Linked DNA regions of Arabidopsis thaliana. The protein of the gene in region 1 purifies or fractionates together with the protein of each later gene. This does not show direct contact. Each region holds a gene or a part of one and is shown on either strand. Other genes may lie near its edges.

Region 1 (3,678 bases):
ATTTGTGGCTTCGCTTGCGTATGTACACATCGATCTCAATATCGTCAGGAAGTAGAAGTCTTATCAACAGTCCTTCGCTTTCACTTATAGACTCGTAAAAGAAAATACTTTTGATCATCACTTGAAGAACTAAACTTTGTAGGTGTTGCTGCTTTTAGTAGAGTTATATCTTTGACACTACTTTGCTCTCCAATCTTGATTTTTCCTCAATTTTATTTACAGAGAATCTAAAGTGTTTAATCCATCCAACAAGTGAAGTGGAAAAGAGCGAATTGCCAAATTATGTAATGAGGAAAATGTTTCAAAGTAAATCAAGATAACACAATTACACAACGGTAATAACAACAAATGCATAATAAAGTTTACACTAAGACAACAAACGCTGATCCTAAACTTCCTTGCCTTAAAAAAAACTTGCCTTTAAAATTTTGTCTCCATAATTTTAACAATCATGACCGGAGTTTGAAAAGAGATCACTAAACCGGATTCTTCTTCGGCCTTCCTCTTCCTCTCTTCTTCGGTGTTCCATCTGAATTAACTCCAACACCATTATTACTCCTCACAGCCTCATTATCTCTCTTCGCCGCACCACCTGACCATCCATCAAAACTAACACCATTACCACTTGGAGGAGCTGCAACGCCGCCGGATGAGAAAACCGGAGGCATCCAATTAGGGAACTTAGCTGCATCTACTCCATTAGCAATGGCAGCTTCTCCTCCTTTACCACCAACAAACCCCATCGGAAAAAAACCCCAACAACAATAATACTCATCTTTACCAGGTATCAACGGAGGCAACTGAGGAATACTCGCAGCGTGAAACGCTCTTTGACAGTTTTGACATCTAATACAATACTCTTGATAAACCCTAGGATACTCATGAAGACTGTAACAGTACGGACACGCCGTCCAAAACGTAGACATCTTCTCATTCGTTGTTGTTTTCTTCTTCGATTTCTGAGTGTTGAGATTTACTTTAGTGAAGATGAGATTCAAATCTCCATCGAATTGAGATTTCTTCGTAGGTGTTGATAGAACTTCCCATGCATCAAGCACGAATCTGAAAGCTTGATCGGCGAAAGGGAAACGGTTTTTGTCAGGGTGGAGAAGAAGAGCAAGACGACGGTATTGTTTCTTGATTAGATCGTTGTCTGTTGATGATTCAGTTAGATCTTCGATCTGAAGGATTTTGTACCAGTTTGGTTGGTTTTTGATACGATTCTCTGGTGCTGATGAGAGTAAGACATCGACGACGGCGAGGATTTGATCGGTGCCTTCGAGGAGTGGCTCTGTCTCTTGAGCTAAGATTGCAAACTCTTTTGAACCGTTTAGATCTCGTGACTCGAGAAGCTTCTCCGCGATTCCGAGAAGACGTTCTGCTTCTGATCGGTTAGGGTTGTTGTCTCCCATCTTTCTTCTTCCGTCGGCGATGGCGGAGAAATGGTGAGCAGATCTAAATATTATCGCCTCGACAAGAGACGATGAAACAAGGCTCTGATTGGCTGTGTGTAAAAATGGTCGGGGGAAAAAAAATAGTAACATTGGAGTAAACGGAAACTAAAACTTTATTTGTTACCAAATTTATTTAGTAATAAAATCATTTCTTCATTTTTATGTTATTATTTTTCACAATTTTATTTTATGTTATTATTTTTCACCCTTTTATAATGTTACCTACTTACAATTCGTTTCCTATTTCGCCATATTTATAATATTGCAAATAAAATCCAGCTTTGTGTCACCAGTTACAAAAATAATATGATTATATACTTTATTGGTTTTATTAACACTACATTAAAAAGGTAAATAAAAGGAAAAATTACTATAGTATATTGGAAATAAAGTCGGTATTTGACTCACTAGAGAGTTATAATTTATAAATGAGACATAATTATTGTTTATTCATCTTATTCAGACAACATAACTAAAAAATATATGGTCAAGATAATATTAAATGTTTTAAGAATGAAAATTTTCTAGAGCTAAGAATATCGGAAATAAAGTTAGACGTATTATGTTTAACAGAAAAAGAGGCAGAATTATGGCAGTTAGCTCAATTTGAGCTCAATACCAAAAATAACGGTTCCATGGGATCGAAAAAACAAATTCGGGTTCAGAATATATCACACGATAATATTTATTCTGGTTTGCGTTGTTTTGTGGACGGATCTTGGAAAGGAAGCGATAAGTTTTCTGGATTAGGGTGGTTTTGCAGATCATCAAATGGAGACTCGCCAACCATGGGAGCTGCTAATCTTCGTAGAAGTCTTTATCCACTCCATACAGAAGTCGAAGCACTACTTTGGTCGATGAAGTGTATGATTGGTGCCGACAACCAAGAAGTAGCATTTTTTACAGACTATTCAGACTTGGTGAAGATGGTGTCTTCTCCAACCGAATGACCAGCGTTTTCAACTTATTTGGAGGAACTAAAGACCGATATAAGGAGGAATTCACAAAGTTTTCTTTATCTTTAATTTCTCGAACTGCAAATGTAAAGGCGGACAAATTGGCACGAAAAATTCATATTGAACCGCTTCATGTCACTTTTATAAATAATTTTCCTCACAATTGGCTCTTTTGAGCTCTAAATAAAATCTGTTGACAAAAAAAAAAAAAAAATCAGAAATAAAGTTCATCTATGACTACCTACCAAAACAAAAGTTCATCTTTGATTCACTCACAAAATAATACAAATAAAACATGAAAATTATAAAAACATTTAATATTATCTCTTACCATAATTTATTTATTTGTTGTACATAGTACAAATAAAATGGAAATAATAATTATTTTTTATTTGTAACGTTTGCCGGCCGAATAAAATATTAAATTTATTTGCAATACTACTCACAACAAACTTTACAAATAAAACATGATTATCGTTTTTTCTTTTCGTTCATTCAAACTATAAACAAAAGCAATGAAAGCATGATAAGAAATGATATTAAATGTTTAAAAAATAAAATTTGATATAACTATATTATTGGAAACAAAGTCCATATTTAAGTCACCTATAAAAAAGCATGATATGAAATAATAATAAATGTTTAAAATAATAATATAATATCTAATGGTATTTGAAATAATGTATGTGTTTGAAGATGTTATAAAAATGTTAAAAATAAAAATATAATTATCAATATTGATAATAATATTCATATTGATATGAAGAAATGATATTATTTCCAACTACAATTTATTTACTTTTCAATGTGATGTGAATAAATAAAGAATAATCATGTTTTAGCTAATGTTTCAAAATAGAAAAATTAATATAACCAAATACTGTAACCTAAAATTGTAAAAAATACCACTCTAGTAAATACCAATATTACCCCGGTTAGCTGCTACTAACATTAAGGGTGAAGTTGTCATTTGATACAGTGATCACGCACTTTTCACTTGTCTTCTTTATTAGTTTTTTTTCCTTGTTTTTTAAAGACATCACTTGTGACCAAAAAACAAATCCACTAAGAAAGAAAAACAAATTAATAAAAAAAAAAGATCAGAAATTAGTTTGTGCAGAAATCGAATTGGAGAAACCGAGTAACTATGGTAGCCACAGATGAGTTCATCGTTTTTGACCAGATCTGATTGTTTTCGTCTTTGCCGTTGAAATAATCCTCCGCTCCTTCTTCTCATCGATTTCTCCGATCGCGATTTTGGTTTCTCG
Region 2 (12,112 bases), on another chromosome or scaffold:
GGTTACGAATAGCAGCACAAATCCATAACTCAACATAAACACTCGAGTCAAATTCAAATGATGATTTAGGAAGATAACAGGCTAATAATCGTCGGAATGTGTTTCCCTTTTCTTTTTTTTTCTGCCCAAATTTTCTCTGCAACACTCCAAAGAGAGGGAGAGATAGATGACAGAAAAACGTGGGTCAAAAAATAAAATGAAATGAAAATAACCAAAGCAACCTCCTTATGTATCCACCTTAACACAAACTACATCTGAAATCAAAACCTAAGTAAATAAAAAAGCATCACTACTAGACGTTTGTCTTTAAAACAATTCTACACTTCTACTGCTCAAGACGATGTTCAATTTCACGGCCACCATTACCCACCACACGCTTATCGCTTTCCACCTTAAATTACATAAACCATCATAATTCAAAAGAGAAAAGAGCACAAGCCCAGACACTCATCGCTTCCTCTTCTTACCGGACTTTGATTGACTCCCCTGTGACTTGCCTGATTTCGCTTTAGTTGCTGGTTCTGGCTCCTTGGGTGTCTCTTCAGATTCTGACTCGGAAGCGCTCTCTTTGGCCTTCGAAGCAGGTGTAGACGCAGAACCAGATTTTGCTTTACCCTTTCCTGTCTTGCTTTTGGCAGGTACAGATTTCACAGGTCCCGACTTGGATTTTGAAGAAGTTGTTGCCTTGGAGGGCTCTTCCTTTTTCTTGGATGAAGCTTTAGATTTCCCAGATTTCGATACGCTGCTTATATCTTTCTTCGACCTGCTGCTTCCTGATTTACCAACGGTTTTGGGGGGTTCCTCTTCCTCGCTCTCCTCCTCAGAGCTCGCCTCCTCTTCTCTGCTAGCTTCCTTTGAATCCTTCGATTTGCTCGCTGTTTTGTCATCCTGGGACGTCTTGCTGGACTTGGAAGCAGGAGTAGCTTTAGCCTTGCTTGATCCAGCTCCACTACCCCTGAATACATCAGAAGTACAATATTACGTATTAGTAGAGAATTATTTTAGAGACTTCAACACTTGTTAACTATTTGCTTTCAGTTTCAATTACTTTTTAGCTGATGAGTTGTCCATCTTTGATTGCTTGCCTGTCTTAGCTTTCTTCGTCAGGGGCCTGCATGACAAAATGCTAAGCTTGGTCATCACAAGTAAAAAGATGACATCTAGCTATTCCTTCCAGTGCCACATAAACAACGGAACTAAAGAAGTAACACGTACACTGTAGAGGCATCTTCCTCTTGACCCGTCTGATCAGCAGCTTCTTCATCCTGATGACAGAAAGTGTAAGTTACAAAATAGGCGAAGAGCAAAAAAAGCCAGAGATGGATGAAATATAATGCCCCACCTGTGACAATTCTGATTCATCCAGAGGACTCCACTTCTGATTCTTGAGATACAAGATTTCTTGATCTCCATCATCATAGATAACCTGCAAACGAACATGGCAACAGCATACAACAATTAAAATACCATAAAAAGGCCTGAAACAAAGATGTATAGCTTAGGAGAACATTCAAAAGGCTACTGGTTGACCACAAACAAATCAGGCGAACCAAAATAGGGGAGACGGATAAAATTGGGCTTACCAGATGTTTCTTCTTTGCAGCATCATATGACTCGACCACACCTTTATAGTACCTGCGGTAAAAAACAGATTACTCATTTGAAAGCATAGAAAACAAAAAATTACAATAACAGGTAGTCCAGATTCTGCTGTCTAAAGGAACAAACATAGAAGTCCAGAACAGAGAAAATGCAAATTGCCTTCTTGTAAATCAAATATAATTCCTAAGAAGAAAATACAAAATGCTTACGCTTGATCCATAGGCCACCAGACTTTGATCCTCGATCCAACTAAACTTTCACCAGATGCCTGCCCAAGAATTGATTCGGTATGAAAAAGTATACAAAAAGAAAAACTCGTACAGAGCAAAGGAAACCAGTACAATTAAAGGATAATCGTTTCAGAGAATATTTCTTCAACTTGAAGAGAATAAGAAGCTGCTCCCATGCACAATTACTACTGCAAATGGCAATTGGTGAAGTGAAGAAAACATACCTTCCCTTGGCCTAAACTTCGTTTTCTCTTTGTGTTTGAATTAGGACTTTCTTCTACCGTTTGCTTCGCTTCTTTCTTTGATTTTGAGGCTAGCTTTCCGGAGGAAACAGCTGGCTGAAAATAAAATTAAACCATATCGGTAAGAGGACAAGGACAGGGAAGTCAGATATGTATTCGAATCAATTCAGGTCAGGGAACTACTCACTTTTTCATTATCACCAGATGAAGTGTGTAATGACTCCTCATCAATGGCTTTCCCACGTCCTGGTTTTTTCTTTTCCTCTTTTGGCTTTGTGGATTCTTGTGCATTATCACTCCCAACTACCTTTTTCTCTGACTGCTTGGCTACTTTTGTCTCAGAGGTGCTTTTCTTTGAAGGAGGAACAGTAGGCTTTGTTTTACTTGACGAAGCAACCTTCTTTCCAGACTTTTTTGTCACCTGAGGTTCAGACGTGTTTGGTTCTTCAGAAACTTCTTCGGTAGCAATAGAAGCAGAAGGTTTGACCTCCTCTGTCGAGCTCTCCTTTTTCTTCTGGTTTGCAGTCTTCTTAGGGACGCTTTGCTCAGGAAGTTCCTCAGCCATTGACGGAGAACTGACATTGGCAGTTTCATCTCCTGATGTCTTAGATGGTAAAATCTGCACACTTTTATTCTTTTCATTTTCAGAAGAGGTGGCTGCGGTAACAGATGAATCAACAGGAGGCGAAGTTAACACATCCTTGCTGTCCAGGAGTTCTGCAGGTTCAGTCTCTTCTTTGATATCTGAATCTTTTGATAAATCCGCCTGTTTGACAGAACTAGATTCGTTTTCCTTTTCCTCAATTTGATGTTCAACATCAGGCTTCTCTTCAGTAGTATTATTCAAGTCAGTGTTTCTAGGATTATCAAGTTGCTGCGGCTCATCTTTGGCACCCGTATCGTCTTGCTTCTTCATGGAATCAGTATCAACCGAAGAATCATTCTGTTGCGCGACACCATTGCTAACTCCAGACTTACCAGATTCATCCTTAGGTGCATCAGTTCGCTCAGGGGTAGAAATTTCTGCTGCCTTCTGTTTATCATGTTTTAATTGGAACATAAAAATCAATTAACAATCTACAAAAGCTAAAAGAAGAAAGGCATCTATCCTTTTCATACAAATCAACAATGACTATCGTACCTCTACTTCCGTTTCCCTTTTTATATGACCTTGACTATCCTGGAGAGGAAAAATATGGAAGAACAGTATAAGAGCTAATGTAACTGAAGACCTGCATAATCACTAAAAAAGTTGAGGCAGTGCGGCAGTAAAAAAGGTGAGAAATAAAGGCTTACTTCTTTTTCATTTGCAACAACTTGGTCTTGCTGCAAAGCACTGAATGTCCCTTCACATATCGAAGCCACTATGTTACTATACTTATCTAGAGGGACACCCGACGATTTCACTGCTTCGGTCAGATAAGTTTTGAGCTTGCTAGCACAGTTACTGAGAACTTGTTCTGCCAACCTCCGTGATACTTGGGAAATCTGTTGATAAGTTAAAAGATTTAACAAAAGAGCATTGGTTGGTGATAGAAAATCAGTAGACCATCCATGTATTACCTCATCATCCTTTTTAACAGAATGTAGGATTGGTGAAAGCATCTCTGAAGGTATATCCTCGCTTTCTTCTAAAACAAGGGTCATTATGTTCTCCATAGATGAAAATACATTCCCTGAATGATGGTCCCTGAAAGGGTAAACAAGTTCAACATCAGACAAACATACTTATTGGATGTTGTACAAGCAAACATAAGCAACAAGCAATAGACTAGTTGTGAACTATATTGCGAGTACATAAAGTAAAGTAGCATAGTCCATGGATAGGTAGAACGACATGAATGAAATGATATCAAATGAGAACAACAACATCCATTAATCAAACATGACACAAGGAAATAAAGGAACAACAGGGAAATAAACAAGTAGACAATTCCATGTATGTGTATTTCCTGGACATTACATTACAAGATGAAAAAACAATGAGTTTAATTCTAGCATAATGGATATATTAGAGTGTACCTTATAGCCTTGAGGAAATGCTGGAACATCTCAATAAGAAGTGCATCACACTCAAGATCCAACATCACAACACATGACCTGACCTTAGCCACAGTTTCAAGGATAGATATCCTTTTAGCATAGGAACGACTAGATTTGTCAACCAGATCTTCAAATGATGATACAATCAACTTGAATACTTCCTGCACATGAATAGAAGAAAAGAGTCAGTAACCAACCAGCATAATGTCCACTCCCTCAAGAAAAAAATAACAAACAACTACATACCTTCATCTGGTCATCATCATAAGGAGCATCAGGAGCAGTTATTCTTGTAATCTCACTGATGCAGGCAGCGACAGCAACTTTGACATCGACATCTGAATGCTTGAAGAGTTTTCCACCGACTAATCCTTTCATCAATGGAGTGAGTGCATTCTGCATTGAGTCGGGAGGTGACTGTTCAACCTCCGCCAGGGATACGAAAAGTTTCTGCAGAAATAAAGCACAAGGATCATCAATCAAACTCACTAACTCCAAAACCACAGGGATTTTTATCCCAAACCGAGAAACAACCGTAACTAAGATCTAAAATGCAGGAATAAAAGCATTTGAGTAGATTCAGAGAGTAAAAGAGACGAAGGAAACAGAGCATTAAATCCAGAAATCGAGAGTAAACACATGCACAGACTTAGCATTGCCACGAATCCGAAGAAGAAGACCAAAATAAAAGAGAAAGAAACAAAAGGGGGTGGTGAAGGAGATGAGAGCTCACGTCAAGGAAAGAGAGAAGCTCATCGAGTGAAGAAGGCGGGTCAATAAGCTTTTCCCCAGCTTCAATAATCTGATTCTCGAGCTCTTTATCAGAATCCGACATGACTCCTTCTCCTAGTTTTCTGACTCGTTTCGCTCTTGCGTATCTACAATTGAATAGATCTCCTCTACAAACCCTAGATTCGAAAACAGAGAATTCTCAGCACCAAAAACCTAAAGCTTCCATTGAATTCCACAAATGGAAAGAGATGAGAAGACGGATTTAGCGAAGAAACTACGAGAAATTTTCCCCCCAAAGTCACTGAACAACACGCTAGGGTTTTTTTTCTTCTCTCCGCTCTCTCTTTTTTTTTTTTTTGTTCGCTCTCTCTCAATCTTAACAGTTTACAGAAAACTAAAGAAAAAAAAAAGTAAAGAAAAATAGGAGAGTCCTCAAGCGCCGTTAAAAAGATATATATATAATCTTTAAATAAAAAAATGGGATGTATTTAATATTTGGTGTACGGCAATTTATTAGTTGGTCGTCTATTTGACGAGATGTGTTTCTTCATTTATTTTTATTTCTCTTTCTCTTTTATGGAATTTTTTTATAGAAAAATGGAATACAAAAATCAAGGAAATCCAGTATTGCGATTTTTTCCCTTTATTTCGGATTTTACTTTAGATTATAAACTCAGGTTAGCTCATTATTTGCTTTCATATCCGATTTTTATATATTTTGTGAGTATTATTTGCTTTTTTATCAACCAGACTCACATGAAGCATATGAAAAATAAAATAAAAATGAGTATAAAGGATAAAATCCTGAAAAACAAATATATGTAGAAATTTGTAGTTGACATATTAAAGAAGAAAAATAAGAATTTGGTAAGATTCAATTTTAATAAGATTTTGTCACTATTAAGTTTATACGATTCTATATTAGATTGTTTTTTTGATTCTACATATGTACTATTTGGTATATTAAGATGTTGGGAATATAGACCTAGATAGAACTCTAAAAAGAAACATAGATTATTAAATTTATCGTTAACAGATCCATAAACTATAACGATTCATATTGCATTAACATGAAATCAAATATAAGATTCAACAACTAAAAACTGGATGAAAGAAAAAATATTAAGCGGTTTAAGAAAAAGAAAAAAAAAAATCATTTATTCCTAAGCATGTTGTCCCAAAACATAGAAATAAGTTTTGAATTTTGTAGGACTAACACTGTATAATATAGTCATCGTTATCGTATGTACACATATTAAAGGGCCTCCAGTTTATTATTTACCTATTGTCTCTCATGTCTATAGCTAATTAACACTTGGTTAGTAGAATTACTCAAACCTCAAGCGTGCAGCCCAATAGTTAGGCTGCTCAGAAACCCTATATGAAACACAAACGGGCTAATCTAACATTAGGCCCAAATCAGATTCCTAGCATCGTCGAGAAGCCCATAAGAGGGTTTGTATGCAAATATTAAACATTACTAAAAAATAGTGATAATTTGCTAGGTAGCACATTTTGATTGCTAAGTACTTGAAAAAAAAAAAAAAAAATTACTTTATCGCTAGCTACCTCCTCTCTCACTCGTCGCAAAGGTAGTCTTCACCCAGATAGAGAAAAAAAAAGACGTTAAAATGTTGTCATCATATTCTAATAAGACCTTATAGAAAACCCCTCTAAGCATATATTTTCTGTCAAAAAAAACATATTACTTTCTTATACCAAATTATAAACAACAATGTTGAAAATTATAGAATATTATAAGCACTGGTGGTAGTAGGTGTCGGTGTATGTGAAGAGCAAAGATGACTTTTCTTGGGGAATTTGCTTGAGTTCGCATTCCCACGGAAGAAGATAGCGACAAGTTTAAGCGGTTACAGAGACTTATACACGTTTCATATCGTACCATTCTCTAACAATGTGAATGAGATGATTTTGTAGCATGTTTACACATTAAAGTATAAGGGGGCAGGTATATTTAACCAGAAAAATTAAAGAGGATAGATACTAGAAGTATAAACAATGTGATATTCAAATTTCAAATGTATTATTAGAAAAGGAGTATAAGTAACACTACTATGCCAAAACTAATATGTAAAATCTAGATTAATCGAGCATGGCAAAACTAACTATTATAGAAATGAAACGGCAATAGATAAGATAAGTATGTTGTCGATATCCAGAGACAGCTAGTGCAGCTTTTAGTAGCCGAAGAAGAGTGTTCTCCATAACAGTAGATCATATCAAAACTTAAATAAAGTAGACTGTCTTTAATGAAAGCACTCACACTCCCACATGCCTCTCCCACCTTTCAATTATGTTGTTAATTATTTTAGACGTGTACTATTTCAAATTTGGACCATCCTTAAAATCTTGTAGGGTTTTTACAAAGTACACATCGAATATAAGCATTACTCTTTTAACAAAAGAGAAAAATATAAACTTACTCAAGTTTTTTAAGGATGAGTACTCACTCATAAGCCAAAAAAAAGGTGGAAAGATACAGTATTAATTTAACCATATAATAATAGTAAAAAAGCTGATAAAATTGGTAAAAGTAAAAGCTAACAAACTCTATAACTTTATAACAATACTTTTCACGCTAAGCCTAGTAGACCAATTTGGCTTTTTTACTTTTAACAAAACCACCAACCAAACCAAAAAAAAAGTTAACTCAAACACAACGACACATCGTACCTTGAGTACTATGCATTATATTAGATTGTGTCTGAGCACATTTGTCGCATACCTCAGAAGCTGATGAGATCTGGCGAAGCAACAACACTCTTCTTTGTTTTTATTTCCTCTTGTTAAATCAGCTCATATGTGTCTTTCTCTCTATTATTTTTGTAGAAATGCTTCATGAATCATGATGACACCTACAAGACGTGATGCTTGATTATTCTATAATGAATTTGTGTAAAATTTTCGCTACAAAACAAAACAATAACAAACAAAATGTAGTTAGATCGACAGATCCAATTTACTCCACGCCGCCACATTGTTTATTCAGGCATGTACTCTATTTTATATTCGAGAAACAACCATAAAATAATCTCTCAAAAGATTCCAAAACTCTGTTTGAAAATGTATTTTACAGAGACATAAATATAAAATTAAATACAAACAATAAAAGCAAAAGCAAGAGTGGACCAAGCCATACTTCAAAGTGAGATAATGACCGACACTTTAGTTAAGGAAGATGGGCAATATGGTAATTTCAAGATTCAGGCTATGTGGGTGGGGTCTCGAGGAAGACTAAAAAACTGGTGAAGTGCATGTGAGAGACTAACTCAATGCCCTCTAATATTACCCGAATTTACATTTTATGCCACTGTCAGTGAGTGAGAGACAGAGCATCAAATCAATAAAGCCTTGGGAAGAAAGTTAACAAACTTATCAATGTGACAATCTACTTAAATTAGCAATCTGACTAATGATTAAGACTTACATTTTTCAAAAGGGAAGGCTCTTTGAAGTGGAGCTCAAACTTAGTGACTTGAAATGCTCTGAAGGAACAAAGTCTTGTGGCAAATTAGCTCTCTTCACAATTCTCTTCATATTACTCTGTAAACTCTGTTGCACTAACTGTTTCACGGCTTTCCTCTCTTCGCTCATCATCAAATCGTTTTCCTCGTGGTCCAAACCGTTGTCTCTGGTCCCGTATATCGGTGCGGATAAGGCTCCGCATGATCCTGTACTATCCAGGACTTGCTTTCCTTTGTCTACTCTAAGACACTCTAATATCCTTGATGCTCTCTTTTGTGCCAGTGCACTTCCTAAAAGAGTTAACTCGAGCAACGCTGATTCGATTCCCGCCTCAATCATCACTTGTCTATCTCCGTATCCCTTGTGAGCCATCAACATTAGAATGTAAGTCGCCTTTTCTTGGCACCCCGGTGAGTCAGTCCAGTTCAGTACATCGACTAAAACCGGGAATGCGTCGCACACCAAACCGATTGCTTTTCTTCCTTCAGGGACTGCCACTAAATTGCTCAAGATAGCGAGAATCCTCTCACTCACTTCCATATCTCCCAATGTGTTCAAAAGATACGTGATCAAATCGGTTTCAAGGATAAACGAAACGTTTGGTTGATAGATTGAGAGGTTGTAGAGAGCTCTCAATGCGTCCTCTCTCGCTTGTGAGCTACTTGTTTCATCCAAATTCTGAAGAGTTTTCACCAGGAAGATTATAGCTCCAGAAGAACCAATAATCGGTTTGTTTGAATCTAAAGCGCTTAATCCAAGAAAATTAGCGACCACAGCTTCTGCAATCTCTTGATCAGGAGTGTTTGGAGACTCAATTAGCTTCAGCATTTTGTGAACAGCACCTGCTTTAACAATCGCTGCTTTGTTCCTGCAAAACAGAATCAAGGAAAGTCCTAAAATGGGTAAAATATTGAAATAAATGCTTCAAGTTATACACATTGTTCCATACTTCATACTCACTCTAGCAGAAAAAAAAAAAGACATGGAAAGTGACTTAACGAATGAACCCAAAACAAACACAGAAACTATTTGGCCGAAATAAAAATTCATGGCAATGAAAGTGAGACTTACGCGTCATTACCAATCCCAAGATTGAGCAGAGCATAAAGCGAAGCGATCTGAGCATCTACGATTCTCGAGTCATCGATCATACTAACTAACGGCGGAATCGCACCGAGCATCGCCAACGTCACTCTCGCCTCCGAGTCTTCCTTCGCCAACAACCGTACCTCACTCGCCGCCGTTATTTTCTTCCGACAGTCTCCTCCGTCATCGTTATCTTCACGCGCCGCCGCAGCTGATTGTAACTCTCTGACCACGCGCTTCAAAACCTCAAGAGCTTCCTCTTTCTTCATCGTCTCAACATCAGCTTCAACTTCAGCTAGATTCAACAGATCACAAAGCTTCTCCGATTTCTTCGATGTCTCCTCGAACGCTACGCCGTTCAACGCCGCGCCGATCGTATTAGCTTTCGCATCTTTCGATGATGCAACTGTTGACTTCGCCGTCACCGTCACGTAACTTCCTTCATCGTCCTCTTCCCGGAGCTCGTGACGGTAACGTGAGCTACCGCCGCAACTAACGGCGTCGACGATCTTTCTACGGAATGTGGATCTAGAGAAGGTGCTCCAGAGACGGAAATGGTAGCCGGAAGTAGAAGAAGAAGAAGTGGAAGGAGCACGGTCAAGAATGAGAGATCCGATATTATTCCGGTGACATTTAGCCATGGTTGTGATTCTCCGATCAGTTCTTTAAGCTTAACCTACTTACTACATATGCACCACCAACAAGCAAAGAGAGAGTGCGAAAGATTTATATATATCTTTTTATTTTTTTGTAAGAAAGAATTATAATTATTTGTTTGTTTATTTGGAAGCGAAAACAGAGCGAATGTTGACTGTTGATTACTTCTTTTTATAAAGAACAAAAATTTGCAGTACTTATTGATTTATCAAAGAATAAAAAAAAAACTGTGTTTGGATGCAGTCTTATAATAAATCGCGGATAAGCTATTCTATCAATTATTTTAAGTCAATTCTATATGCTTTTTTCTTCATTGATGATTTTTTAAATTGATAACGTTTATGAAAATTGTTTTTTTTTCTTTGAAGAGAAAATGTGAAAGTACAAGAGAGGGGTGAGTGAGGCCATCACTAATTTCAACCGTTCAAAATTTACAAAATGTGTGTCAGGGAAGCTTCTACAGTTCTACACAAGTCCCATCATTTTGATGATACTAAATCAGTAGATTGCTACTACTATTGGGGCTTTGTTTATGATTCTTTTTCTATAACACACAATATATTTCATTTTAAGAAAAAAGAATTTCTAGAAGAAGTTTATAGCTCTAAAAATGGTCCAACAAAACCACCGAGAAACCAAAATTTAAATCAATGTTTAGGCTCTTCTACAATTGATTTCAGTAATTTTCTAAAGAGTAAGAACCCCTTTGGATACGTTTCTGTATTATTTATTTTTCGTAAGGTTTGGTTATTTTAGGATGGCTCTACAAAAAAAATACAATAAACATCTAAAATAACTTGTATCAATTAAAAATAAATATATGCAAATTTCATGCTGCACAGTGGACATCCAGTGGAAGTATTCGAGAATGATTTAACTGTGTTGTGTTGTTTGGTCAGATCGCTGCTAATTGCTATTCTCAAGTCTCAACCTTCTTTTACTGGTACGCACTCAAAGCCCATTATCACCGAAAACATTTCGGTGGATATTTTAATAATTCTCTAATTGATAAGCGTGATTTTATGTCAACTTACAAGGCTTTTCAAAGCCCAAAAAGGGCCACAGGCCCAAGCATAAAGAGAAACATTCACACCATATCTATTTTAAAGATTAATAAAAATGAACAAAACTGATTTTAATTGTAAAATAACAAAAATTTGCTTTCATTGAGAGTTGAACTCAAGACCTCCCGCTTACTAAACGGGTGCTCTAACCAACTGAGCTATGAAAGCTTTTGCTGTTACAATTAATTAAAATCTATATAATACTTTGTAACAAAACTTTTTTTAAGTGTTAGTTAATTTAAAAAGCGTTAATCAATTGAAATGTGGACCTCTTAAAAAAACTAACAAATACAAAAATGCACCATTTGTCCATAGAGTATTGGAAACTAAGTAAACCATCTTCATACTATTGGTCACAACCAAATCCCTTTCCAATTTGTAACGGACGACTAATTTTGGTTTTGTGGTCAAGACTCAAGATAATGCTAATTTTTAAACAAAATTACAGTGCATGAATCTAATCTTTATTTCCTTCTTCTTTTATAACCTTTTTCATACTTACCATTTGCATGCCTCTCTTTAATATTTGTTTTATTCTATAGAAACAAATCACATTATATTGCATTGAATAGATTTTTATTTAAGTTTCATTTATTTGTTTTCAGACACATATCTTTAGATACTAAAGATATAACTAAATATTTAAATCTTATTTCTGGTCAACCCATTCAGACAAAGAATCTTAAATAAAAAAAACTTTAAATTAATTTCTTCCCTAAATATGATATATATTTTTTAATTATGTTACATAAATGTATATATACAATATAAATTTATAGTTTTTTTTTGGTAAGCATATAAATTTATAGTTTGACCAGTGTCAAGGAAACTTAATAAATCAAACAACTTTTTATACTAATAAAATAAAATAACTTTTTGTTTTAATGATATTTAAATATTTAATTATTCAATATATGGTTATTTTGATAATTTTATTTTAAATCATCATCGAATTTCTTGTTGAAATTTC

What was found. Proteins that work in one complex are often made in the same cells at the same time.
Region 2: the proteins of AT2G01710 (region 1) and AT4G31880 fractionate together in Arabidopsis thaliana (co-fractionation; one large-scale study listed by BioGRID). This does not show direct contact.

What each region holds. Positions count from the first base shown.
Region 1 is NC_003071.7:313,570-317,247, reverse strand, and holds AT2G01710 (Chaperone DnaJ-domain superfamily protein), read right to left. Parts: upstream 1,601-3,678; 5' UTR 1,545-1,600; coding exon 477-1,544; 3' UTR 255-476; downstream 1-254. Other genes in the region: AT2G01720 (Ribophorin I), read left to right, coding at 1-55.
Region 2 is NC_003075.7:15,418,988-15,431,099, forward strand, and holds the start of AT4G31880 (transcriptional regulator), read right to left. Parts: upstream 5,325-12,112; 5' UTR 4,953-5,324; coding exon 4,851-4,952; intron 4,568-4,850; coding exon 4,364-4,567; intron 4,279-4,363; coding exon 4,097-4,278; intron 3,765-4,096; coding exon 3,638-3,764; intron 3,563-3,637; coding exon 3,371-3,562; intron 3,255-3,370; coding exon 3,216-3,254; intron 3,108-3,215; coding exon 2,262-3,107; intron 2,171-2,261; coding exon 2,057-2,170; intron 1,871-2,056; coding exon 1,812-1,870; intron 1,636-1,811; coding exon 1,584-1,635; intron 1,427-1,583; coding exon 1,343-1,426; intron 1,266-1,342; coding exon 1,216-1,265; intron 1,112-1,215; coding exon 1,049-1,111; intron 956-1,048; coding exon 448-955; 3' UTR 1-447. Other genes in the region: AT4G31890 (ARM repeat superfamily protein), read right to left, coding at 8,303-9,203, 9,407-10,062. UniProt on the Arabidopsis thaliana protein: Cohesin cofactor dispensable during the meiotic division but playing an important role in DNA repair by homologous recombination (HR) probably by helping SMC5/SMC6 complex.